4 linked regions of the Oryctolagus cuniculus genome follow. The protein of the gene in region 2 purifies or fractionates together with the protein of the main gene of each other region. This does not show direct contact. Links are inferred from orthologs where the notes say so. Each region holds a gene or a part of one and is shown on either strand. Other genes may lie near its edges.

The links. Proteins that work in one complex are often made in the same cells at the same time.
Region 1: the proteins of SNRPB2 (region 2) and SF3B1 purify together in Homo sapiens (co-immunoprecipitation; 6 studies listed by BioGRID and IntAct, with this or other methods). This does not show direct contact. The link is inferred for Oryctolagus cuniculus from reciprocal best matches to the Homo sapiens genes SNRPB2 and SF3B1.
Region 3: the proteins of SNRPB2 (region 2) and SF3B4 purify together in Homo sapiens (affinity purification with mass spectrometry; 4 studies listed by BioGRID and IntAct, with this or other methods). This does not show direct contact. The link is inferred for Oryctolagus cuniculus from reciprocal best matches to the Homo sapiens genes SNRPB2 and SF3B4.
Region 4: the proteins of SNRPB2 (region 2) and SNRNP70 purify together in Homo sapiens (affinity purification with mass spectrometry; 5 studies listed by BioGRID and IntAct, counting the BioPlex papers as one, with this or other methods). This does not show direct contact. The link is inferred for Oryctolagus cuniculus from reciprocal best matches to the Homo sapiens genes SNRPB2 and SNRNP70.

What each region holds. Positions count from the first base shown.
Region 1 is NC_091434.1:42,820,522-42,826,443, reverse strand, and holds the start of SF3B1 (splicing factor 3B subunit 1), read right to left. Parts: upstream 3,850-5,922; 5' UTR 3,835-3,849; coding exon 3,783-3,834; intron 3,582-3,782; coding exon 3,405-3,581; intron 1-3,404. UniProt on the Homo sapiens protein: Component of the 17S U2 SnRNP complex of the spliceosome, a large ribonucleoprotein complex that removes introns from transcribed pre-mRNAs.
Region 2 is NC_091442.1:41,759,387-41,765,321, forward strand, and holds the start of SNRPB2 (U2 small nuclear ribonucleoprotein B''), read left to right. Parts: upstream 1-2,313; 5' UTR 2,314-2,464; exon of another isoform or gene 2,465-2,537; intron 2,538-4,153; 5' UTR 4,154-4,178; coding exon 4,179-4,242; intron 4,243-4,986; coding exon 4,987-5,159; intron 5,160-5,935. UniProt on the Homo sapiens protein: Involved in pre-mRNA splicing as component of the spliceosome. Associated with sn-RNP U2, where it contributes to the binding of stem loop IV of U2 snRNA.
Region 3 is NC_091438.1:48,025,208-48,031,055, reverse strand, and holds the start of SF3B4 (splicing factor 3B subunit 4), read right to left. Parts: upstream 3,850-5,848; 5' UTR 3,761-3,849; coding exon 3,727-3,760; intron 3,291-3,726; coding exon 3,162-3,290; intron 2,586-3,161; coding exon 2,043-2,585; intron 1,726-2,042; coding exon 1,519-1,725; intron 1-1,518. UniProt on the Homo sapiens protein: Component of the 17S U2 SnRNP complex of the spliceosome, a large ribonucleoprotein complex that removes introns from transcribed pre-mRNAs.
Region 4 is NC_091449.1:8,222,417-8,228,572, reverse strand, and holds the start of SNRNP70 (U1 small nuclear ribonucleoprotein 70 kDa), read left to right. Parts: upstream 1-2,307; 5' UTR 2,308-2,574; intron 2,575-3,086; 5' UTR 3,087-3,096; coding exon 3,097-3,243; intron 3,244-5,678; coding exon 5,679-5,741; intron 5,742-5,855; coding exon 5,856-5,910; intron 5,911-6,156. UniProt on the Homo sapiens protein: Component of the spliceosomal U1 snRNP, which is essential for recognition of the pre-mRNA 5' splice-site and the subsequent assembly of the spliceosome. SNRNP70 binds to the loop I region of U1-snRNA.

The DNA.
Region 1 (5,922 bases), on a different chromosome or scaffold from region 2:
AGTATATCCTGGCATCTCAACTGTCAGTCTGTTCACTAACAAATCAACAGAACTAACTATAATGTAAATTACTCTATTGAACACTGTAGAAAACAGTGATATATCAATTCCCAAATGAGTCTATGGGGGAAAAAACTTTTAAAACCTTCAAGCAGGGTCCAGCATTGTGGTGCAGTGGGTTAGGCTACCACCTTTGATGCCCCCATCACACACAAGCACTGGTTCAAGCCCTGGCTGTTCCACTCCAAATCCAGCTGCCTGCTAATGTGCCTGGGAAGGCAGCATATAATGGGCCAAGTGCTTGGGCCCCTGCCACCCACAAAGGAGACCTGGATGAAATTCCAGGCTTCTGGTTTCTGTTGCAGACATTAGGCGACTAAACCAGTGGATGGCAGATATGTCTCTACCTTTCTGTCTCTGAAACTGTGCATTTCAAATAAAAATTACAAGGGGGTGGGGCATTGTGGCAGCATGGGGTAAGCCATGCATGAAGTACTTGGGTTCCTGCTACCTACACGGAAGTACCGAATGGAGTTACAGCTTTAGCCTGGCCCAGCCCCAGCTACTATAGTCACTTGAAGAATAAACAAGCAGATGGAAGACCTGTCTGTGTCTGTCTATTCCTCTTCCATTTAAAACTTTTTAAAAATAAAAATAAATTTTTGGGGGAGGGGAGAGGGAGGTATTTAGCGTAGTGTTAAGACATGCTTGGAACACCCATACCCCCTATCAGACAGACTGAATTCAAATCCTGGCTCTGCTCCTGATTCCAATTGCTGCTTCCTGCTAATGCACACCTTGGGAGACAGCAGTAACAGCTCAGATAATTGGGTCCTGTCACCCACATGGGAGACTCAGACCGACTTCCAGGCTCTTGGCTTTGGCCTGGCCCAGCCTTGGCTGTTGCAGGCATTTGGGGAGAACTTGCAGATGGAAGCTCTCTTTCTCTAAATCTTTAAAAAAATTTTTAAATTCTCCAAAAAGCTTACATAAAAAATAATGAATTACATGGTACGACAAAGAAATGTCTGTACCAGAAACATTTAGAATAAATATTGTATAATCTTTTTACTTGAAACAAAAATAAATATTACATATTTTTAAAGGCCACGCCAGTGGGATTCAATCTAAGTCATCCTCTCTATTTCAATAGCCTAAGAATGGTTGCTGACTCCAGGTCATCCTTCACACTACAACCTGTGACCTTCCCAAAACACAGAAATAATATGACCTGGAGGAAAGAGCCAGTATCTGTGGCCACTGGTGGGAAGCCTTCCACGATGACACTAACCTAATATTTCATCCTCTCAGTTGAGGAAGTTCCCAAAGTGTAAAGTCTTGCTTCCCCATCTATCTCACCCAAATACATATAGTCAAGCCAACACAAACTTTCAAAGATCAATTAAGTACCTTTTGTTTGTGAAACTCTTTTAATACTTCCAGTATGTATCTTTCAATGTTGATTAAATATTTAAGCATACATAATGCACCTACTGGGTATTCTAAGATAGAATTCCTGTAAACAACCTCAAAGTATGAGAAAACTTTAATAGAAAAACTATCCTAAGTGAAATAATACAAATATATTGAATACTACAATAGCACACCCCAACCCCAAAAGAAACTAATTTCCAGCTTATAAGAAATCGCTTGACAAGTGAAAATAGCTAAAGCACAAAGAACTAGAGTTCTGCAGAAAAATACCACAAGGAAGAGAGCGAGAAGCTATGCAAATACTGTATTTCTATTTAACAGTTATCACCCTGCAACTTATCACACACAGTGATAATTTTCACAGAAAGTACTCAGATGTTATACCAAATTTTCCACTATTTTCTTTAAGGCATTACTTAATTTACATTGATAGCATAATCTCAAATAAAACAACGATTTGCAATCAAAAGGCCTTTTAGCTGGGTTTCTAACATGCAGGAAAACCAACTGCAATTTTTGATTTTCCTGACCAAGGTTATGAGATATTGAAGATACCAATAAATAAGCAATCAACGCTGCTAAGTGACCCCCAAATGAGTAATCTACTCCTGAATGAACAAAACTTGCAACATCTTTATATTTTCTGGTTATTTTGCAAAAGGTATTTTGAGATAGTCTAAAAACAAAGGATTAAGGCCTAAGAACAGTTCTGGGCTTAGAAAGCATTGAGCCTCAGTTCCATCCACATTCTGGTCCTAACCAACCTTTCCAGATTCATCTTCTACTTCCCCTTTGCACCTCTTTTCCTGCCACTGCAGACTTCTCCAACATACTTTTCAGACGCACTGCCTTGTTAACAGTTCTCTCAGGTTCACACGTCCTCCTCTAATTTAAAACTGACTGATCCTTTCAAGACTGGGGACACGTCACCTCTTCTGTGAAAACAGCCCTAACCATAAATCCATCACTCCTACCCAAGTTCGCAGAACACACTGCTTACATTTCTATCTAAGCAGTCATCTGGCCTCTTAAGAAAATTCAGATAAATACGTGTCAGTGTACCCCATCACACTAGAATGTTTGATGGCCTCTGAGTCGCTTACCTCTCACAGACCAATACCAAACCACACACCAAGAAACGACATACATAAATAACGACATGAAATAAAAGTCATCTTGAAAGCCTTGTGTACAGTGTAAATTTTGGATCCAAAGCCAAATCAAGGAGTGCAGTTCTAAATTCCCAATCCCCACTTCCTATTCTCTGGACACTCCCTAATGGATTTCACTCTACTCCCAACATTCGCCTAATTTTGTATACCCTGTATACTAGAAAAGGATCAACTATCTTCAAAACTTCGGTCACCAGCCAATATAATATGACTTTCCTTTTGCACATGCTCCTCCAATAATCAGCCACCAAAGAAAAAGATAAATATACTATAAATTATTAAGGAAGGCAAAAAACACCGGATCATTTCTTCCAAGAAAAATAATCAAGTAACCCAGACACCTGAAGACACACATTTTACCCAGGGTTAGGAGTCTGCGGCCTCGGTTTAACATTCCCCGAAAAGCGGCTGCCTATTTCAGCGCTTTCCTGACTCCCTGCACAAACTATGCCGACCACAGTACCAAGAGGTGAGCGGGACTCTCCTCCCACGCTTCCCCTATCCGTCGGCCTGGAATCCTCCTTAGCCACCCGCTTAAACGAGGCTTCTGGTCAGGGAAGAGAAGAAACCCTCAAGCAGCTGCATTCAAACACGGAACAAAGCGCCTGTCGTGGGTGTACGAGTAGGACGCCATTACGCGGGGCAGTGGGCTGCGCCGCTAGCGCCGAGGAGACGCCTCAGACCCCCAAAGCGCGGACTCGGCCCCTACAAAAAAACTAAAGGAGCGTCAGAGGCTCGGAAAGGCAGTCTTAGCAGGATGGCGGCAGAGAGGGCACGTAAACGGGAGAGCCTGCTTACCTTCGTGAGTCTTGGCGATCTTCGCCATTTTGTCCACTCGAACACACAGACGGAACTGGCGCTCCCAAGCACTTCCGCTCGTCGCCGCCGCCACGGAGAAAAATAGCTGGGACTGCTCTCTGCGCGTGCGCCAAGCGGGAGCGCGCTCCGTCGAATGACACGTGACAGAGCAGCCACCTAGATGGAATCGCGAGGTGCATTGTGGGTGTGGGAGGAACCGGGATTAGTCCGGGGGCGGGTCTTAGTTTGTGACCCGGGAAAACTCTGCCTGGGGGTGAGGGAGGCAGTGAGTGGGTAGATTACTCGGTGGTGGATAAGAACAGACCCTGTGGGAAACTATGGGTTCGGAGCTGGAAGAGACCTCAGCCTTTCAATTACCTTTGTCCAAATTCAAAGGCGTCTCGGGGCTGGAGAAAAGCTTTCTTAGCATGTTTCAGCTGTTGCCGTGCTTAGCTAAGGAGACAGTCTTAACAGTCTCACACCTCACGCTAACTTTCAAGGTCATTTTTCCTGCTGCCCTTTTCTCAATAATTGCCTGCTGTCTCTATAGGAGTTTCGTTTCCAACTGACGTTGCCAAACTACTTCACAAATAGTCCAGTAAAATAGGCAAGCTATTGCTAATACCATTGAAGACAAAAAAAATTAGAATGGGGAGATATGTAAATTGTGCAAAGTCACACAGTTACCAAATTGCACAACTTGAATGCTGTCACCATTATAAAGCTTTTTCACTTTATAGGTTCTTAGAATACAATTGCCCTAAATGTTACTCCTAAATCAGGAACTTTAGTAAGTCAGAATACAGTGGTGTTCTTTATGCTTAGATATGAATTATGCTGTCATAACTTGACACTATTTTTGGACTTTGGGGTTGAAAAAAACAGAAGAACTAAGGAGGGAGGTTGGGTCTAGGAAGCAGCCTAGGTAAACAGGTAGGGATCAAGGTTAGAGCCAGCAGAAGGTTAGCTTGCTGTTTGATAGACACAGTCTGAATAAATACTTAGTGGAAACTTCAGTAACACATAGGATTTTTATCAGCATCTGTGAAATAATCGATTTAATAAGTTTAAAACTTCAGATGTTTAATTTCCATCTCTTTATTAGTTCAAACAGAAGTTAATCTAATAGGGGGGACTACACTGTGGCCCAGCAGGTTAACGCCCTAGCCTGAAGCACTGGCATCCCACTTGGGTGCTGGTTCCAGTCCCTGCTGCTCCTCTTCCTATCCAGCTCTCTGCTATGGCTTGGGAAAGCAGTAGAAGATGGCCCAAGTGCTGGGGCCCCTGCACCTGCATGGGAGACCTGGAAGAAGCTCCTGGCTCCTGGCTTTGCACAGCCATTGCAGCCATCTGGGGAGTGAACTATCAATGTAAGACCTCTCTGTCTCTGCCTTTCCTCTCTCTGTGTAACTGTGACTTTCAAATAAATAATAAAATTTTTAAAAAAGAAGTTAATCTAATAGGGAATGTGGGGTCAGGATAAGAAAGATTGTTATGCAAATTATTGAGGGGCCCTTGCTGTGGCTTATCAAAGCGTAAAGCTGCTGCCTGCAGTGCCGGCATCCCACTAGGGCACAAGTTCCAGTCCCAGCTGCTCCACTTCCAATCCAGCTCTCTGCTATGACCTGGGAAAGCAGTAGAAGATGGCCCAAGTGCTTGGGCTCCTACACCTGCGTGAGAGGATCTAGAGGAAGTTCCTGGCTCCTAGCTTCAGATCAGCACAACTCAGGCCATTTTTGCCAGTTGGAGAGTGAACCAGCAGATGGAAAACCTCTTTTTCTCTCTGCATCTCCTTCTCACTCTGTGTAACTCTGACTTTCAAATAAAATAAATAAATCTTAAAAAAAAAAACCTGCTAAACAAAAAAAAAATCAAAAGAACATCAAGCTTTTTGCCTCATGTCTTTGAAAAAGACAAATTCTTATATATAAGGTAATCTGTCATGTGAAAAATATATATTGAAAAAGTTGTCGGGCAGGCGCCGTGGCTCACTTGGTTAATACTGCACCTGCAGCGCCGGCATCCCATATGGGCGTTAGGTTCTAATCCCGGTTGCTCCTCTTCCAGTCCAACTCTCTGCTGTGGCCCAGGAGGGCAGTGGAGGATGGCCCAAGTGCTTGGGCCCCTGCATCCGCGTCGGAGACTAGGAAGAAGCCCTTGGCTCTTGGCTTCGGATTGGCATAGCTCCAGTCATGGCAGCCATTTAGGGGGTGAACCAACGGAAGGAAGACCTTTCTCTCTGTCTCTCTCACTGTCTAACTCTGTCAAAGGAAGGAAGGAAGGAGGGAAGGAGGGAGGAAAAAAGAAAGAAAGAAAGAAAGAAAGAAAGAAAGAAAGAAAGAAAGAAAGAAAGAAAGAAAGAAAGAGAAAGAAAGAAAAAGAGTTGTCAATATCTTAACAGTAGATGTTTGTGAATGATGGGATTATGTGTGATTTTTTTCTTTGTGTCTTTTGTATTTTCCAAATACTCTGCTATAATCATGTGTTAATCTTATAACTAGAGGGAAAAATGAAATGA
Region 2 (5,935 bases):
ACCCAGAGTGCTGGCACCGCAGGCAGAGGATTAGCCTAGTGAGCCGTGGCGCCGGCGATATAATGTTCTTAATGCCATGTAAATTAATCAGGCCATACAAAGCTTCTCACAAGATCAGAAAAGCTCTTCTCTCCCCTCATTGCCTGTGAGCCATGCTTTCAATTACTGCTTTCTCAAAATCATTCACGAAACTACTGAAGACCATTAACAGGTTATTGGGAAGCCCAAAGTTACTGCCCAAGGACAGCAAAACATACTGGCTCTTTGTAAAACAGCCTGGAAAAGAACATGCAGAACATTGCCACTGGGTCGGTATTAAATGGTTTTCTTCTCAGAACGCAATGTGCAGTAGCTGTAATTTAGTTGTTAACAGAACATGCTATGCAGTCAGTCTTCAGGCCTCTGTGTTTCCTGTGGCATTTCTTCCCAGGGAGAGCCTTGGCACAGTCATGGTGTAGCCTCTTTCAAGTAATTAATTGCTCAGCTGCTCACCTTATTTTGCAAGGCAGCTTCTCTGCTGTCATTCAGAAATTATTTTATATTTGTTTTGTTTTATATTTTATATTTGTTTATCATTTAGTTTGCTAAGGTACACTCAAAATTTTAAAAAATATTTATCTATTTGAAAGATAGACAGATCTTCCATCCACTGATTTACTTCCAAAATGGCTACAGTCTCCAGGGCTGCACTAGGAGGAAGCCCAAGCATTGGAGCCATCATCTGCTTTCTTCCAGGGTGCATCAGCAGGAAGCTGGATGGGAAGAGGAGCAGCCATGACTCCAACCAGCACACTGATAGGGCATCCGGGTTTCCCAAGAAGTGGTTGAATCTGCTGCATCACAATACCTGCCCCCACAAATAAAGTGAGACAGGACACGTTTCTTCTAGAATTTCTATATATATCATAAGGGAATGCTTTCCAGTGATCATGTAACCTTATTTCCTACACCACTGTGCATCTTAATAAGATATCACACTTGTTTCAGTGTTGCCTTACTTTCCATGAGGCTTCATTCATTTATTCACGCAATGCATATTTACTGAATACAAGGGACTCTTTTAATTACTGAAGGTTTTTAAATGAACAAAACAGACAAAAATCCCCACCTTCAAAGTACTTACATTATTTTTAAGTTGTTGCAACTTTATGTTGACTCTTAAAATAAAACTCCTCAGGTGATAAAATCAAACTATTTGGCCCCTACCACCTTCATCCATACCTCCAAGTCATAGTTAGAGTCTAGAGGTAACATTTAGGAACCAGTGACTTTGTGTAATGTTCTAATCATTTTACAGAGCACCCATTTAGTCCCCAGAGTGATAAGAAGGTACTATTAAGATTCCTGTTACATAGGCAAGGAAAGAGAAAGAGAGATTTAGTTAAGAGGAAGACACAAGGTTAGATTTACTTTGGCTTCTTTAAAAAAATTTTTTTGACTTATTTATTTGCAAAGCAGAGAGAGACAGAGCTCTTTCATCCACTGATTCACTCACCAACTGGCCACAAGGCCGGGGGCTGGGCCAGGCTGAAGCTAGGAGTCTGGAACTCCATTCTGGTCTCCCAGGTGGCTTGCAGAGCCCCAAGTACCTGAGCCCTCAGCTGCTGCCTCCCAGGACAGGATGCATCCGCAGGAAGCCGGATCAGGAGCAGAGCAGCCTGGACACAAATACGGGACGCTGGAGCCCCACGCAACGTCCCAAGCCATGGGGCCCTTTGCTTTGACTCCTAAAGCCTTCCTATTCCAGGTGGCTCTTAGCACGTCTCAGATGACGGATGAACGAATGACCAAATGCACGGTTTTGAATTTCCATTCACTAACACCTTAAGTTATCTCCAGAAAAATCTAAGCATCTGCGGGGAGTGCAGTGAGAAGGGTGTCGGGAACTCAAGTGTTTTGTGGTGTTTTGAGTGAGTTTAGGTAGATGTTAAAGGCACACCCCACTCAGTCTCTGCTCCAGGGCCTCCGACTCCAGCTCTGCCTCTCAGAGTTAAGCTCATCAGCAGAGTGTTGAGGAGCTACCTCAGAACCCCTGGCAGCAGTATAGGCTGTCCTAAAGGTGAGGCTGACCCATAGAAGGGGTGAAACCAGCAGGAGGGGCTGCGCCCGCAAACCTCACATAGGATTCAGAAAGGTAGAGGGAACTGCTATGTGAGTTAAAACCTCCCTCAGTCTTAGTGGGGGTAAATGAACCACTCTTTTTTATTACCTCACAGCATGGCCCCAGGGTTCTATCCAGTTCTCTCAACCCTCTTCCGTTTTCCCGGGCCCTCTTTCAGCAGAGCACGTAGGCGCATGCGCAGAGAGTTCCCCAGCTTGGGGCCGCGGGAGACCGGGAGGCATCGATCGACTCGGCGCTGGGCTTCTCGACTTGTCGGCGCTCGATTGAGGAGTTTCATTGTCACTTCCGCCTTCGGCACCGTTTCCGGCTTCCGGTTGCTCGTGGGAACGGCGTAGTCCTCTGGTGAGTCGGATTCCCGTTTTCCTCGGTTTTGCGGTTCTTCACGCTGCTCAGCCCGAACAGTACGAGGCGCGAGGTGTGGTCGGGTGGCGTCTCGCCTTGGTTTTGTGGAGGGGTCGGTTTGAGACGAGGGAGCGGCCATGCAGGGGAGCTTAGCAGCGGCGCGCGTCTCTGGCGGGACTGGCGCGGTCCTTGGATCGCGGCGTGGCCCCGGGGCAGAGAGTCTGTGTCTGGAGAGGCAGGAAGCTGGCGCGTACAGAGTACGCCCGTTAATGCGAGGCGTGGGAGATTCCAGGTGGTTTCCTGCGGATCTGTTGTTTCTGTTTTGGCGGAGGGGAGAGGTGCGACACCAGGTGCCCTGCTCTGATTAGCCCAGCACCGAGCTTCTTGGTCTCTTGTTCTCCTCGCCTTCACTTTAATCTCTCTCGCTCCCTTCTCATGGTCAAAACTTGGCGACCCCCTGCTCCTCTTCCAGGTTTCGACTGGGGAAATGTCGAGTCTTTAAGAAACGTTTCTATTCATCTGCCACCTGCACAAGTACATCGGTCTATAGGCTCCTCCCTCGCTGTGTGTAAACACAGCAAGCAGTGTTTAGTACCTAATTATCTGTGGGCCATCCAGGGAAGTAAAGCAAGGTCACACTTGGCAACTTAAAAACCACGTGAAGTGTGGAAATCGTCCAGTGGGTTGCAAGGACGGAATTCCCAGGCCTTCTGATCAAGAGCTGTGTGACCTCAAGCGTGCTCCCTGACTTGTAACAGCCATGATATTAGCTCCTTTGGGGGCTTCTGATGCAAGAGCTGTGCTAGAACTTCGGGGGCTCTGGCCAGCCCCGCCCCCACCTCAGCCCCGTCTGACAGATGAAGACCTGAGAGATTAAGGTCTTTGCCAAGTCTGTTAGAGGTCATCCTGGAGTGAAGATGGCAGGTGGAAATTTATGCACAGTGATTGATAGATATGGAAGTGCTTTGTAAGTGCACCCAGGAACAAACTACATTGATGTTCTGTCTTAACGATTTGTTCTGGATTGTACACTTGGTAGTTTCTTTTTCATTTTTCTTTATGTCAAAATTTTTAAACCAGCTTACAAATACAAGTTACTTCATTAGGCAGATGGGAAGTAGCACAAGTGAAAGGAAAGTATAAAAATGTATTGAATACAATTTTATTAAACTCTGGCAAGCTGCTGTTGTTTCACTAAATTTTGAGCTTGAGAATTGTAAAAATGAGGGCTTGCGGTTTGCATCTGATGTAGCAGTTAAGATGTCTGCCCCATGTCAGAGTGCCTGGGCTTGAGTTCCGGCTCTCGCTCCTGACTCCGGCTTCCGCTAATGCAGACCTGAGAGACAGCAGTGGTGGCTCAAGTGATTGGGTTCTTGCACACACGTGGGACACCTGGATTGAGGAGCCTCTAGCTTCACTTGACCTCAGTCGAGCTGGGCCACAGCTGGGCATTTGGGACGTGAAGCAGAGCTTTGGAGCTCATTGTCTGCCTCTGGCTGTGTGTGCGTTTGCCTCTCAAACAGAAATACAGAGGAGGACTAGCTATTGCTGGAGAGAGAGTCTATGACCCAACTGACATTCTGACATAGCGATTGAAAGAAAACGGAAAAGCCAACAGCTTTCTGCTGTATTGATTTAATCACACCTGTTTGTAACAGTTTTTTTTTTTTTTTTTTATCCTCTCTTTAGGCTATTTGAACATTTTAACTCAGACATGGATATCAGACCAAATCATACAATTTATATTAATAATATGAATGACAAAATTAAAAAAGAAGGTAAGTGTTTTTAAAAATACTTATTGATAACTAAAATGTGTTTGTTTACTACCATCTTACAAAATTGTACTACACCCAAACTCATTTTTCTTACCTCCAGTAATAAATTTTTTTTTTTTTTTTTTTTTGACAGGCATAGTGGACAGTGAGAGAGAGAGAGACAGAGAGAAAGGTCTTCCTTTTGCCGTTGGTTCACCCTCCAATGGCCGCCGCGGCCGGCGCATCACGCTGATCCAATGGCAGGAGCCAGGAGCCAGGTGCTTTTCCTGGTCTCCCATGGGGTGCAGGGCCCAAGCACCTGGGCCATCCTCTACTGCACTCCCTGGCCACAGCAGAGGGCTGGCCTGGAAGAGGGGCAACCGGGACAGAATCTGGCTCCCTGACTGGGACTAGAACCCGGTGTGCCGGCGCCCCAAGGCGGAGGATTAGCCTAGTGAGCCGCGGTGCCGGCCTCCAGTAATAAATTTATAAAGTTTGTGTAAGGATTTCCAGGCTTTTTAAAAACAAAAATAGGTAGTGACTGACAACATGCTGAATCTGTTCTTACTCATAGCTACTCATATAATGGTTTCAAATAACTTTTTACGTTAGATAACCAATGGGAATAGCAATTTGTGTTTTTACTTACATATATAACTACTAACTGTATAAATAAATGGTGACAGAGCACTCAATGTACTGTCATTTAATGAAGAATTTTCTCATTCCTTCGTTCACAAGTTATTTCCCCTCTTATTTGGACAGAATTGAAGAGATCCCTGTATGCCCTATTTTCTCAGTTTGGCCATGTGGTAGATATTGTGGCTTTAAAGACCATGAAGATGAGAGGGCAGGCCTTTGTTATTTTTAAGGAACTGGGCTCATCCACAAATGCTTTGAGACAGTTACAAGGATTTCCATTTTATGGTAAACCAATGGTAAGCCAGTACTGTTACTTTTGCTTTAATCACTATGAATGTTTCGTAGATTTGTAAATATATGCTTGAAACTGTGGTTTTTGCTTTCACTTTTAATTAAGTGTGTTATAGGGAGTTCGAGTTCCTTTTATTTATGTATTTTTCATAGAAATACAGAAGTAGAGGTTAATTCATTCTTATGACAGTTCAAATAGGCAAAAACAGAATGCACTGAGATGTAGAATATTTTCAAAATAATGGCAGTATAGACAATGTTCTTGTCTTAAAAATACTGGAAATTAATAATAACCCAAAGATTTAAAATGATAACTAAACTTGTGAAGCAATATAAAACAAAAATTATGGATCAAAGAGGAAATCCAGTCTGAAGTTTCAGCGAATAGAGTAGTGAAAACCTTTCAGAAATTAGGCAGTCTAGGTAAAACATTGATCTTGGGGAAAGTCATAGGTTTAACACATAGGTTTTATGAAGGGCAGTGAGTGGAAATGGAATTTTTATACGTGGAGAGTGTTAAAACTTTGGAGTAACAGAAAGATTCACATCTGCTACTGGATGAAGATTGGACTGGGGAGTAAAGAGGGAGAGTACGGAATTCACTTGGTGTGAATCAGAGATGGTGGGGACTTGGATAAAGGTGGAGACAGTGTGAGGCAAGGCTTCTATGTGCCTGAATGAGTGCAGAGTACTTTGGGTGTGTGTTCCAGACTGTGTCTCTTCAGCAATTGGGATGAGAGGAGAAGGGATCTTAGCTCTGGGTCCCCATTCTGATTTTTCT
Region 3 (5,848 bases), on a different chromosome or scaffold from region 2:
TGAAGCTTCTGGCTCCTGGCTTTGGCCTGGCACAGCCCAGGACGTTGCAGCCATTTGGGGAGTAAACCAGCAGATGAAGATTGATTTCTCTGTAGTTCTGCCTTTCAAATAAATAAAATTAATATTTAAAAGCAGGAAGTGAGGTGACAGGGAATAATCAAACACAGCCCTAGACTCATGAATTATGCACCTGAAAAATACGGAAGACTTATAGAATAGGTTTGAAGGGGGAGGGCCCCGCACTGTGGCACAGCAAGTCAAGCAGCTGCTGGTAACTCCAGCATCCCACATGGAGCAAAGGCTCAAGTTCTGACTGCTCCACTTCAGATCCCTGCTAGTGAGCCCGGGAAAGCTGCAGACGATGGTCCAAGTACTTGGGTCCTTGCTCACCCACATGGGAGACACAAATGGAGTTCCTGGCTCCTGGTTTTGGCCTGATCCAGCCCTGGCCATTGCAGCCATTTGAACTAGTAGATGGAAGCTCTCTTTCTCTGTCTCATCTTCTTTGTAACTCTGCCTTTCAAATAAATAATTACATAAAGAAATTTTTTTTGAACGGAAGAGACAGAGTGCCCAGTCGCTGAAACTGGGGGAGAGCGAGGTTACAAGGTTGAAAAGAGAGAATTACACCTGGGCAGGCCAGGAGGGCGGCTCAGTAGAGAGGCAAAGGTGAGCGCACAATCCATTTGGACTCCCTAGGTTTTTTTTGTTTTTTTTTTTCTTTTTTTTCTTTTTATTCACAGAGAGAAAAGAGGCAGAGAAAGAGAAAGGTCTTCCATCTGATGGTTCACTCCTCAATAGGCTGCAATGGCCAGAGCTGTGCCGATCCGAAGCCAGGAGCCAGGAGCCTCCTCCGGGTCTCCCACGCGGGTACAAGAGCCCAAGGACTTGGGCCATCTTCCACTGCTTTCCCAGGCCATAGCAGAGAGCTGTATTGGAAGAGGAGCAGCCGGGACTAGAACCAGCACCTATATGGGATGCCGGAGCTTCAGGCCAGGGTGTTAACCTGCTGTGCCACAGCGCTGGCCCCTACACGTATTTTTTTAAAAAGAGAAAGGTCTGAAGGGGAGAGGTACAAAAGTGGATCTGTCCACTGAGCAACAGGATTATGGATTTAGATTGTTAATAATCATGAACTAGAGATACAGACTAGGAGACATCAGTGTATACTTAATCTAGACCCAGAGAAAAATCAGTTTATCAAATTGACTGAAACTGAGGTGTCAGGTGGAGAATCCAAAAAACAGATGAAAAAAACAGACAAGAATTTCAAACAGGAGTACACAGCTAGTTTCAAATACAGCAGAGGGCAAACCATCTAAGAAGTCGAAGTATCCCCTAGACCACTGCTCTGGGGTTGAGTCAGAGAGAAGGGAAACAACAGGGAACAAACAAACAGCAAGTATAGGCTACTCTGCAGAAAGACTTACACAACAGGACAGGTGGTAAGTAGTAAACTAAAGAGAGCATTTTGTTCGTTCACGCACATCCCTCCCTTTCCCAGCCAAGAACACCTACCTGGATGGGGCATGCCACCTGGTGGGAAGGGGTGAGGATGTGAGTGTCCATGACCAGGATGTCCAGCCCCCGGGGTGCCTGCTGATGGAGGGCCATGTCCTCCAGCCCCAGGAGGCATTGGTGGGGGGGGCATGGCTGGAGGTATTCCAGGTGGGAGGGCTCCAGGAGGCGGCACTGGGGGTGGGAAAGAGCCAGGAGGAGGCATGCCTATATAGAAATCAGAAGAAGGATTAATGGCGGTGGGCAAAGAATGCCTTTAAAGAACCTGTCCCAGTTTGACCTGTCTATGCAGGGTGAGTTCTTGCCCCCTCCTCCCAGTGCTCTAAGGTCACAAGCCATGTTGCACTACTCAAATAATCCTACCTCCCTGGAGAAGCCCGACAGAGTTCTTCACACCCCTCCCACCCACCACCTCCTAACTCCCTTCTCATCACCCACTGACTCAGGAGATCTTCCCTTTCCAGGTTCTTTGTTCTCCTCACTGCAGCCCCAAGACAAACGTATTTGCGAACCAAAAGCTTTACCTGGTGGAGGAAGCCCAGACCCCAGTGATGATACCACAGGGTTGGGAGCAGAGGGTGGAGGGGGTGCATCTGCAAACAGCTGATGTGGGCGATCAGCCTGGGAGAGTGGGTTCTGGGCTGCCAGAAGTCGTTCAGCTGCGGAGCCATGGCGCTCACCCTTGGAGTCCTTCTTGAAGGCATAAGACACGGTGATGGGGCGGTTACAGAGGTACTGCCCATTCATGGCCTCAATTGCTGCATCCGAGGCATCAAATGAAGCAAAATTAATAAAGGCATAACCTTTGGAGTTGCCTGTGTCAGGGTCCCGCATGATCTTGGGGGTTTGTAAGATGACCCCAAAGGCGCTAAAAGTATCGTAAAGCAGCTTCTCGTCAATCTCCGGGTCCAGGTTCCCGATGAAAATGTTGGCCCCGACATCCAGGTTTTTGTTGTGAGCTGATGCCTTGTTCACTCGTATTGGCTTCCCATAGAGTTTGATCATGTTCATGATCTTAATGGCATAGTCAGCATCTTCTTCACTCAAGAATTCCACAAAGCCATAGCCTAAGCAGGCAGAGAGGAGATTAGCAACTAGAGCGAAGATACCCGAAACTGGGTAAAACTCACCCACCCTCCAATCACAAAGAACAAGAAAATGATTTTAGAAACAAACTGTGAACTGAGGATTAAGAGAAAGCAATCTGGGGCCGGTGCTGAGGCACAGTGGGTTGGGCATCTGCCTGCAGCACCAGCATCCCATATGGGCGCCAGCTCAAGTCCCAGCTACCCTACTTCTGATCCAGCTCCCTGCTGATGGCCTGGGAAAGCAGGAGAAGATGGCCCAAGTCTCTGGGTCTCTGCACCAGGGTGGGAGACCTGAAGAAGCTCCTGGCTTCAGACTGGCCCAGCTCCGGCCAGTGCGGCCATTTGGGGAGTGAATCAGTGGATGGAAGGCCTCTCTCTGTCTCTCCCTCTCTCTGTCTGTAACTCTGCCTCCCAAGTAAATAGATAAATCTTTAAAAAAGAGAAAAGAAGAGGAAGCAATCTTCTGGTCGCTCATTCTGAAACAAGTATAAATACCGCTGGGACCCTCAGGAGCAGCTGTCAGATACATAAAGTGGCCTCTTGGCGCGGACTCACCTTGGTGCTGGCCAGTGACTCTGTCCTTCGGCATGTGAGTGTTGACCACCGGTCCTGCCTGCAGGAAGAGCTCCCACAGCAGAGGTTCGCTAACCTTCTCGTCCAGGCCCCCCACGTACACAGTAGCATCTGGAGGGAGGATGCAGGAATTTAGGATGGGGACGAATATGACAGGAAAGGAGCTGACCGGGACATAAAGATGGAACCCAGTTAGAGGAACTGCAGGCGGGGATGTGGGACAGAAGCGAAAAGGGGGAGGTGGAAAGCATCCAAATAAGCCCTAAATCGTCCTCTTCGCAGGACCTAGAGCCCCTTCTGAAGTTCACTTTAGTGTCTGCTGCAAATTCCGTCCCACTCAGAAAAGGCAGCAGGGGGACTGCACGAAACATCACACGTCCAGGCCTCAGCCTGCACCCGGCCAACCCGCCCGCACCAGCCACGGAAGCGAGTCTCGCGCCCTCCGGGGGACGGGGGTCCAGTTTCCCGCCTTGGAGACGCTACTGGCCTTAGCTGGGGCTTCCCACCCTCCCGGGCCCATTCCGGACTCGTCTCCCCGCCCAGTCACCCTGGTTCCGCTCGGAGATCGGCCCGGCAGCCATGGCGAAAAGAATCCCGCCGCCTCCAAGCAGCGGCTCCGCCCTCTGGCCGCGGTCACTACTTCCACTTCCGGGGCGAAGACTTACGTGACGCTGGGCGGGGCCCGGACGGGGGCGGGGCCGGAAGCGGCTGCGGCCATCTTAGGATCCCGCGGGACTTGACGGTGCTGTGGCGTCCCGGTTCAGAGGCGTTTGGATTTGCGCCGAGGTTCCGGGGCGAGCGGTCGTAGCGAGGAGGGCGGGGCAGGAAAGCGCAGGCCCTCTGAAAGCAGTGCCAGACGTCTCCCACCGGTGCGGGCGTTTGGCACAGCGGTTAAGCCACAGCATCCTCAGTCAAGAATTACAGGGTCCGAGCCCCGGTTTCCCCCGACTCGAGCTTCCTGTAAATGCACACCTTGGGAGGCAGCAGAAACCCCAAGTTTGGTCCCTGCCACCCATGTCGGAGACCTGGATTGTTCCCCGCTCCCGGTCTGCGTCTGGCATGGCCCCGACTGTTAGAGGCATTTGGGGGAGTGAACCAGCGGATGGAAGTTGTCTGTTCCTCTCTTTCAAGCTAAAAATAGTAACTCTTCGTGTATTTTGTAGCCAGCTGATCCTTTTGTCACCCAAAGGAAAAGGTTCTCAGGGACCCCTCAACCTAAGGACTCTGCTCCACAAGCGTCTTAGTTTTGGCCTCATGCCTCTGGCTGGCTCGAGGTAATGTCTGAGCCGGAGTGTGAGCAGAATCTGAGGCTCCCCGGATGGAGTGTGACCAAAGCTGCAACTCCAAGAGCACTTTCTGGCCCCAGCAACGTCATAATATGCTCTTGGCTGTCTGCCTCTAAATGGGAGATGAGAATTCTGAGCCTCACGTGGTCCAAATCCATTCCTTTCTTAGAAATCATACGATGGGGACCTTTTCTCAAGTCTTTGCTATCTAGGATCCTTCATTCAAATCCAAGAATCAGTGCCAGCAATGTGTATAAATATTGTGCTTTAATGAACTTAAATAGAAATGCCACTACAAAAATGTACAGTTGGAAGAGAGGGTGTGTTTCATATCCACTTTGTTTCCAAAAGAAACTATACAGGAAGAAACAGAAATTGGAATTAAAATAGGCAGCAAGAAGGGGCAAGAATGAGGTCTTTAGGCCATACTGTTGGAACTGGTGAACAGCGTCTCTGGTGTCACAACTTAAATAGCTGGCTATCTATAAAGCAATTACATTGTGGATTGTTTTGTTTCTTAATTCTTCAACTCCCAGGAAACAACAGCTTCAGGAACCAAATAAAAGGACAAGAATTAAAGATTAGCACCACCGTCCACAACAAACTCAATTCTAAGTGAGTTTGCTTAAGAGCTGGAGTGTGAAAGCTGAGGCAACAAGGCCATATACAAAACACTGCAGTATTAGGACTCTCCCTCAACCCAGATCCCCCGCTGCTCTTTGAGAATGCCAGCAATTTCAGCAGGAATGAGAGAGAATGGTACTTGGATCTCTTTTCTTGGAGTGATCACCAGGAAACGCTCTTGGTGTCCACTTCCTTAATAGTTCCTGAAGATGGGATAGTTCATCCTGGAGGCCAGAGACTGTGAGAGCTGAGAGGCCCATCTGGGAAGGGTGCCAATAGGGACAGAGAGAAACGTCATTGCAGCTCTAGACCCCTGCTTCTAAGATCTGCCCGCTACTTGTGGTGCCTAATTGTCTTTCCCCTCCCAACTCTGCCCTAAATTCCATTTAATGTAAGCTTCTAGCAGTTTCCTCTAACGGTACTTCATTTCCCAGCCCGCCCAGCCCCTTGCCTTCCCAGCTCTGTTCATCTGGTTCAGCTGTCAAGCCCCTTCCCCCACTCCCAGTCCCTGTCTTCTTTACTCACCTGGACCTCGGGCCGTCCCCTCAGGTAGCAGCGTCTCCAGAGCCTGATCTGAGGTCCCAGATACCCAGGCAGCAGCAGCCCTGGAGGTAAAGGGCAAGCTCCCCAGTGTAAAGGGAGCCCCCACTCTTGGTCAGCCAGGCTTTCAGAGGAGACAGCCATCCGGGGTAGCCAACGAGAAGAGACCGCCAGCAGAGAGGGACTCTCCCGCCACGGACAGAGCTGGTGTAGAGGGGT
Region 4 (6,156 bases), on a different chromosome or scaffold from region 2:
GGGCGCTCATACAGGATGCTGGCCAAGAAACACTATTTCGAGCTGCACCTTCAGAAAGCAAGTGGCCCTGACCACTGACCACTGCTTGCCACCTGCTGCTGCCCCCTTGGTCTTTCCCCTGGAATCTGGGCTTCCAACCTCTCACTCTTGCCCTGTAGCCCCTTCCCTGCGCCCCCCCCCCCCAAGTGATCTCCACAAATGTAAATTCGGTTCTTTCCCCTGACCATCACCCTAGTGACTCCCTACCTAATTATAAATGAAACCTGGCCCCTCCTCCCTGGCAATCCTGGGAGCAGGCAAGGATCCCCGAGGCTGCTACCATCACTGGGTGGTGCTTCAGGCCCTGATGCCCTGGGGCGGATCTGATAACAATGTATCACCAGCCAAAGGCTCTCGCTAAGAATGTTATCCTGGTGCTGGCGCAGCAGGCTAAGCCACAGTGTGAGGCCAGCAGCCCAGCGCCTGCTGTTCCATTTCTGATCCAGCTCCCTGACAGTGCACTCGGCAGAGCAGCAGACGCTGGGCACTGACCTGGGAGACCTGGATGGAGCTCCAGGTCCTGACTGTGGCCTGGCCCCGCCCCAGCTGCTGTGACCATTTGGGGACCGAAACAGCGGATGCAAGAGTCTCTCTCTCTCTCCCTTCTCAGTAACACTTTCAAATAAAACTTTTTAAAAAAGATTTATTTATTTAAAAGTCAGAGTTACATAGAGAGAGAAGGAGAGGCAGACAGAAGCCGGCACCGCGGCTCACTAGGCTAATCCTCCGCCTTGCGGCGCCGGCACACCGGGTTCTAGTCCCGCTTGGGGCACCAGATTTTGTCCCGGTTGCCCCTCTTCCAGGCCAGCTCTCTGCTGTGGCCCGGGAGTGCAGTGGAGGATGGCCCAAGTCTTTGGGCCCTGCACCCCATGGGAGACCAGGAGAAGCACCTGGCTCCTGCCATCGGATCAGCATGGTGCGCCAGCCGCGGCGGCCATTGGAGGGTGAACCAACGGCAAAGGAAGACCTTTCTCTCTGTCTCTCTCACTGTCCACTCTGCCTGTCAAAAAAAAAAAAAAAAAAGAGAGAGACAGAGACAGAGACAGAGATCTTCCGTCTGCTGGTTCGCTTCCCAAATGTCTGCGATTGGGCCAGGCTGAAGCCAGGAGCCAGGACCCCACCCAGGCCTCCCACACAGGCCGTCTTCCTCTGCTCGGGCCCCTGGCCAGGGAGCTGGCGGGAAACGCAGCAGCTGGGACGCCAGCCTCGCCGGTGGGGCTGCCCGGTGTCCCAGCGCCAGCCCCTGACCCCTGCAAGGATTTCAGAAACGACGCCCACGCAGGTCCCGGCGACCGCACCTCACTCAATGCGCCCCAGGACTTGTGAGCCAGCCCTGGCTGTCGTGGGCGTCTCGGGGGTGAACCAGCAAGACCGCTCTGCGTCCCTCTCCTTCCCAATAAGTAAAAATTGTGCCAAAAAAGTGAAGTTAGTAATCTGGGTATCATGAACGAGGCAACGGAGCTCCCCCTAAAGGCATCAAGCACAGTGCGGTCCACTCTCCACCACCACGGGCTGTGCACCCGAAACATTCCAGAAAGCAAACAGCGCGTCTGTACTGAACACGCAGACTTTTCTTCATGCCCTAAATGATAAAGGATAATTTTGGCGCAGGCTTCACATTGTGTTAGGCATCGTTAAGTGAGCAGCGGGCCATTTCACACTCACGGGCAGAATTCGGTCCTGGGACCAAGTGCCCATGCAGGACACCCAGGAAATGCCCGTCCCAGCTCAGGCCCTGGGCACCTGCCGTTAGCCGCGCCCCGATCGCCCTGGGCGCCTCTGTCCCCCTCGCTGTCCCCTCCCGCCCCCCACCCTGCTCTTGTCCTTGAGATGGCCACTACCTGAAGTTGTATTTTTCATCTAAATACCTTTACACTCTCCCTCAGTACAAAGTAAGGAACCAAAAATCAGGTTTTCACACCTCCAGCGCCTAAACAGCGATTGCTGGACGCCCACTAGCCGGACGATCAACGCAACCAACACTATTCCCGTAGGGACTCTTTGCCAGGTGGCGGAAGGGTATTACCCGTTCTCTAGTCAATGCGCATGCGCCAAAGATCCGGGAAGTGTGCTAGGTAAGGGGGCGGGGCTTCGGGATGAGCCTCGCGGGCAAAGGCGGTTGGAGTCCAGGCGCGAGGTGGAAAGCGGCGCTTGGGGACGAGCGCGCGTGCGTAGTACGGCCGCAGCCAGCCGCGGCACGCAGTTGAAGGCGCCGGGAGGCGGGGCAAGGGCCTCGCGCGTGCGCCGTGCCCGCGGCGGCCCCGGTGTCTGTAGGTCGGTTGCGCGCGGCTGGCGCTGCGCGTGCGCAGGGCGACGGCGGAGGGATTTGAGGCCGGGCTCCACCTCCTGCTCCCGTTGCGAGCCGAAGCCGCGCGGGCTCGCGAGCAGAGGCCTGCTGCGCGCGCGGGGGGCGGGCGACCGAGTCCGACGGCGCCGGAGTCGAAGCCGGAGCAGGAGTGCTTGTTGCTGAAGGGCCGCCGCAGCCGCCGCGAGCCCCCGGACCGACGCCAGGCCGAGGAGGGCACCGCGCGGCGGGTGAGTGGGACCCAGTGGTCTTGAGGGGGTGCGGGGCCGCTACCCACAAGCCCCTGCGGTGGGCCGGGGTCCCCTCCCTGACGGCCGCGTCCCCCCTGCAGCACCGTTCCGCGGCCCTCGCCTAGAATTTCCCGGACACTCGGCGCTCTCCCCAAAACACGCCCCCGCCCGCCGCCGTCCCCTTCCCACAGGCCCTTGCGCGTTTGTTGCCCTTTCCCCGCCCCCTCCCTCGCTTCTCGGGGCGCCCTGGACCATTACCCACAATGCCTCTCGCCGCCGGGAGCCCAGACCTGCTACCCACAAGCCCCTGCGTGGTGGGGGCGGGGAGCGGGGTGCGCGCCGACTTCCGGCTACCCAGCGCCTGCGACCCCCGCCCCGGGCGCCTCCCTCGGCCGCAGCCCCGACTGCCCGCTCGCCCGCGCTTCGGCCTTTGTTCCCCCGGCGGCGGCGGCGGCGGCGGCGCGCTCCCCGGGCGAGGCAGCCGCCACAAGGCCTTGACCCTCTCTCCCCAGACCTGGCAAGATGACCCAGTTCCTGCCGCCCAACCTCCTGGCCCTCTTCGCTCCCCGGGACCCCATCCCCTACCTGCCGCCCCTGGAAAAGCTGCCGCACGAGAAGCACCACAACCAGCCCTACTGCGGCATCGCGCCCTACATCCGGGAGTTCGAGGTGAGCCAGGCCGGCTTCGCGGCTGTGGACACTTCCAGGCCTCGGGGGGCCTGGCAGGGCAGCCCCTGGAAGGCGCTGGGGAGGACGCGGCGGGAGGGGTCGGCCGCGGACGCCGGGTGCTTCTCTGCTGTGTGGTCTTGGGCGGTACAGAATCCCCACGATGCATTCGCTGTCTTTGACAGCAGGACGGAGAATAAATAGCATTTACGGCAGAGCGCTTGGTACCAAGCAGTCGATACGTGTCAGCATTTGTGACTGTATTTGCCATGTTTTTAAAACATTTATTTTTCTTTATTTGAAAGATGGAGTTAGAGAGAGAGGGGTCTTCCATCCACTTGTTCACTCCCCAGATGGCCGCAACAGCCATAACTGAGCTGATCCGAAGCCGGGAGCTTCCCTGACTCCCACACGGGTGCAGGGGCCCAAGGACCTGGGTCGTCTTATACTGCGTTCCCAGGCCGTGGCAGAGAGCTGGATCAGAAGTGGAGCAGCGGAGAGTCGAATTGGCAGCCCCTATGGGATGCTGGCGCTGCAGGCTGGGGTGTTAACCCACCGTGCCACAGCACCGGCCCCTGTATTTGCCGTTCTTGTTAACGGAGTGTCGTTCCTGAAGAATTGGCACTGTGTGGGTGGCGTAATTAAGACCGTAGCCTGGGGCTCTCAGATCTGCACTGTGGGTCACCGTTGGTGCAGCTTAGGCTCCGGGATCTCAGTGTTTTCATTTGTAAGGTCGGGTGATGACCCCGCCTCAGGGCGGTCCGTGTCACAGGCCGCTCCAGTGCTGTAGGGAGAGGCTGCGATGGAGGCTCCAGAGCCGAGGTGACACAAGGTGGCTCTTACTGGATTGGCCACTCCCAGTGAACTCGTGCTTGGGAAGTGTTATTAGCCAATTAAATTAATTTAATGGGCACAGGCCAGCAACTCTGTCTGGTGATCGCTGCCTACGGAGTGGCTGCGAGGGCTCAGAGAGCTGCCTGGCCCTCAGGACGTGCCCAGGTGTCAGCTCCTGCTGCTGCTCTCCTGAGCAAGCGCCCCCGCCCCCACTCTGCTTTGTCACGTCCTCAGACACGTCGTCGTCGGTGCAAGACAGGGACCTGTGAGACTATCTTAAAGGAATTAGTATTTATTTAATTGAAAGGCAGAGTTACAGAGGAGGAGGGGAGAGACAGAAAGGTCTTGCGTCCACTGGTTCACTCCCCACATGGCCGCAGTGGCTGGAGCTGTGCTGGTCTGAAGCCAGAAGTCAGGAGTTTCTTCTGGGTCTCCTGTGAAGGTGCAGAGGTCCACGCACTTGGACCATCGTCTGCTGCTTTCCCAGGCCTTAGCTGGACCAGAAGTGAAGCAGCCGGGACTCAAACCAGTGCCTGTGTGGGATGCAGCGCTGTAGAGAGGTTTCATCTTCCACGCTGCTGCAACAGCCCAAGATTGAAAATTTCAATAAATGTAGTGAGATTATTTTGAATGAGAAGGAGAGAGGGAGAGACAGGTCTTCTGTCCACTGGCTCACTCCACAGATGGCTGCAGAAGCTATGGCTGGGCCAGGCCAAAACTAGAAACCAGGAACTCTGTCCAGGTCTCCCACGTGGATGACAGAGACCAAGCACTCAGACCATCGTCTGCTGCTTTCCCAGGCGCATTAGGGAGGTGGATTGTAAGTGGAGCAGCTGGATTCCAGCCGGCACTCTGATAGAGGATGCTGGCGCCACAGGTGGCAGCTTCACTGTGCCATGTGTCAGCTCTTGGGGTTTTCAAAAGAAACACCTGGGGCTGGCGCCGTGGTTCACTTGGTTAATCCTCTGCCTGCAGCACCGGCATCCCATATGTGCACCGGGTTCTAGTCCCGGCTGCCCCTCTTCCAGTCCAGCTCTCTGCTGTGGCCAGGGAGTGCAGTGGAGGATGGCCCAAGTGGTTGGCCCCTGCACCCCATGGGAGACCAGGAGAAGCACCTGGCTCCTGGATTTGGATCGGCGTAGCTCCAGCCGGAGCAGCCATTTGGGGGGTGAACCAACAGAAGGAAGACGTTTCTCTGTCTCTCTAACTCTGTCAGTCAAATAATAAAAAAAAAAAAAAGGCAACAGGCTGGTGGTCAAGTGTAAGAGGCTTGGGTTGAATGCCTGGGCTCCCTGACCTTGGCTGTTCCCGTCTTTAAGAAAAAAATCAAAAGAAGCACCTGTAAAGGTTGGGGTTTATCTCTGGAGTGAGTGTGCGTAACACTGCTCTGTCAAATTGCTGTGGAAGTTTCCAGATACTTTTCATCTCTCTCAGACCGCAGAGTTTGTGGACAGCGTCGGTCTGTGGATGTGCATTGATCTTGTCACTTTTGCCTCCAGTGTGGCCTGGGAACTGCCCACGTGTGTTTGTGACAGTGGGGCAGCGCTGTGCTATTCGCTGGTTGTCCCCGTCCCTCCACCCTGTCCCTCCGTTCTTGTTCCCAGGACCCTCGAGATGCCCCCCCTCCAACGCGTGCAGAGACCCGGGAGGAACGCATGGAGAGAAAGGTACTTCCCTCCCCGGAGTGTCCTTGAGGGGGTGGGGGCCGCTTCCTTCAGACGGCTGCTGGCGTCGGGGCACTTGAGTCTGCACTCACAGCTCTGCCTCGCCTTTCTCAACAGAGAAGAGAAAAGATTGAGCGGCGACAGCAGGAAGTGGAGACGGAGCTAAAAATGTGTAAGTGCTCTTCTGTCTGCTCTGTCCTCCCCAGGCCAAGCCTCGTATCCTGCTCGCCCGAAGGCCTGATTTTGGTGAAGGCAGGGTTCTTGATTTGCTTATTTAGCAGGCTGTAGGGTTTAGTTGTGGGGAGGGGCGTGCACTTGGGGGACCCCACAGGCTGAGGTGGCAGCTGCACAGCAGTGAGCAGTCCTGGCTCTGCTTGCGCTCCCTGCCCTTTGGGGTGGTGCTGGCCCTTCCAAGTGC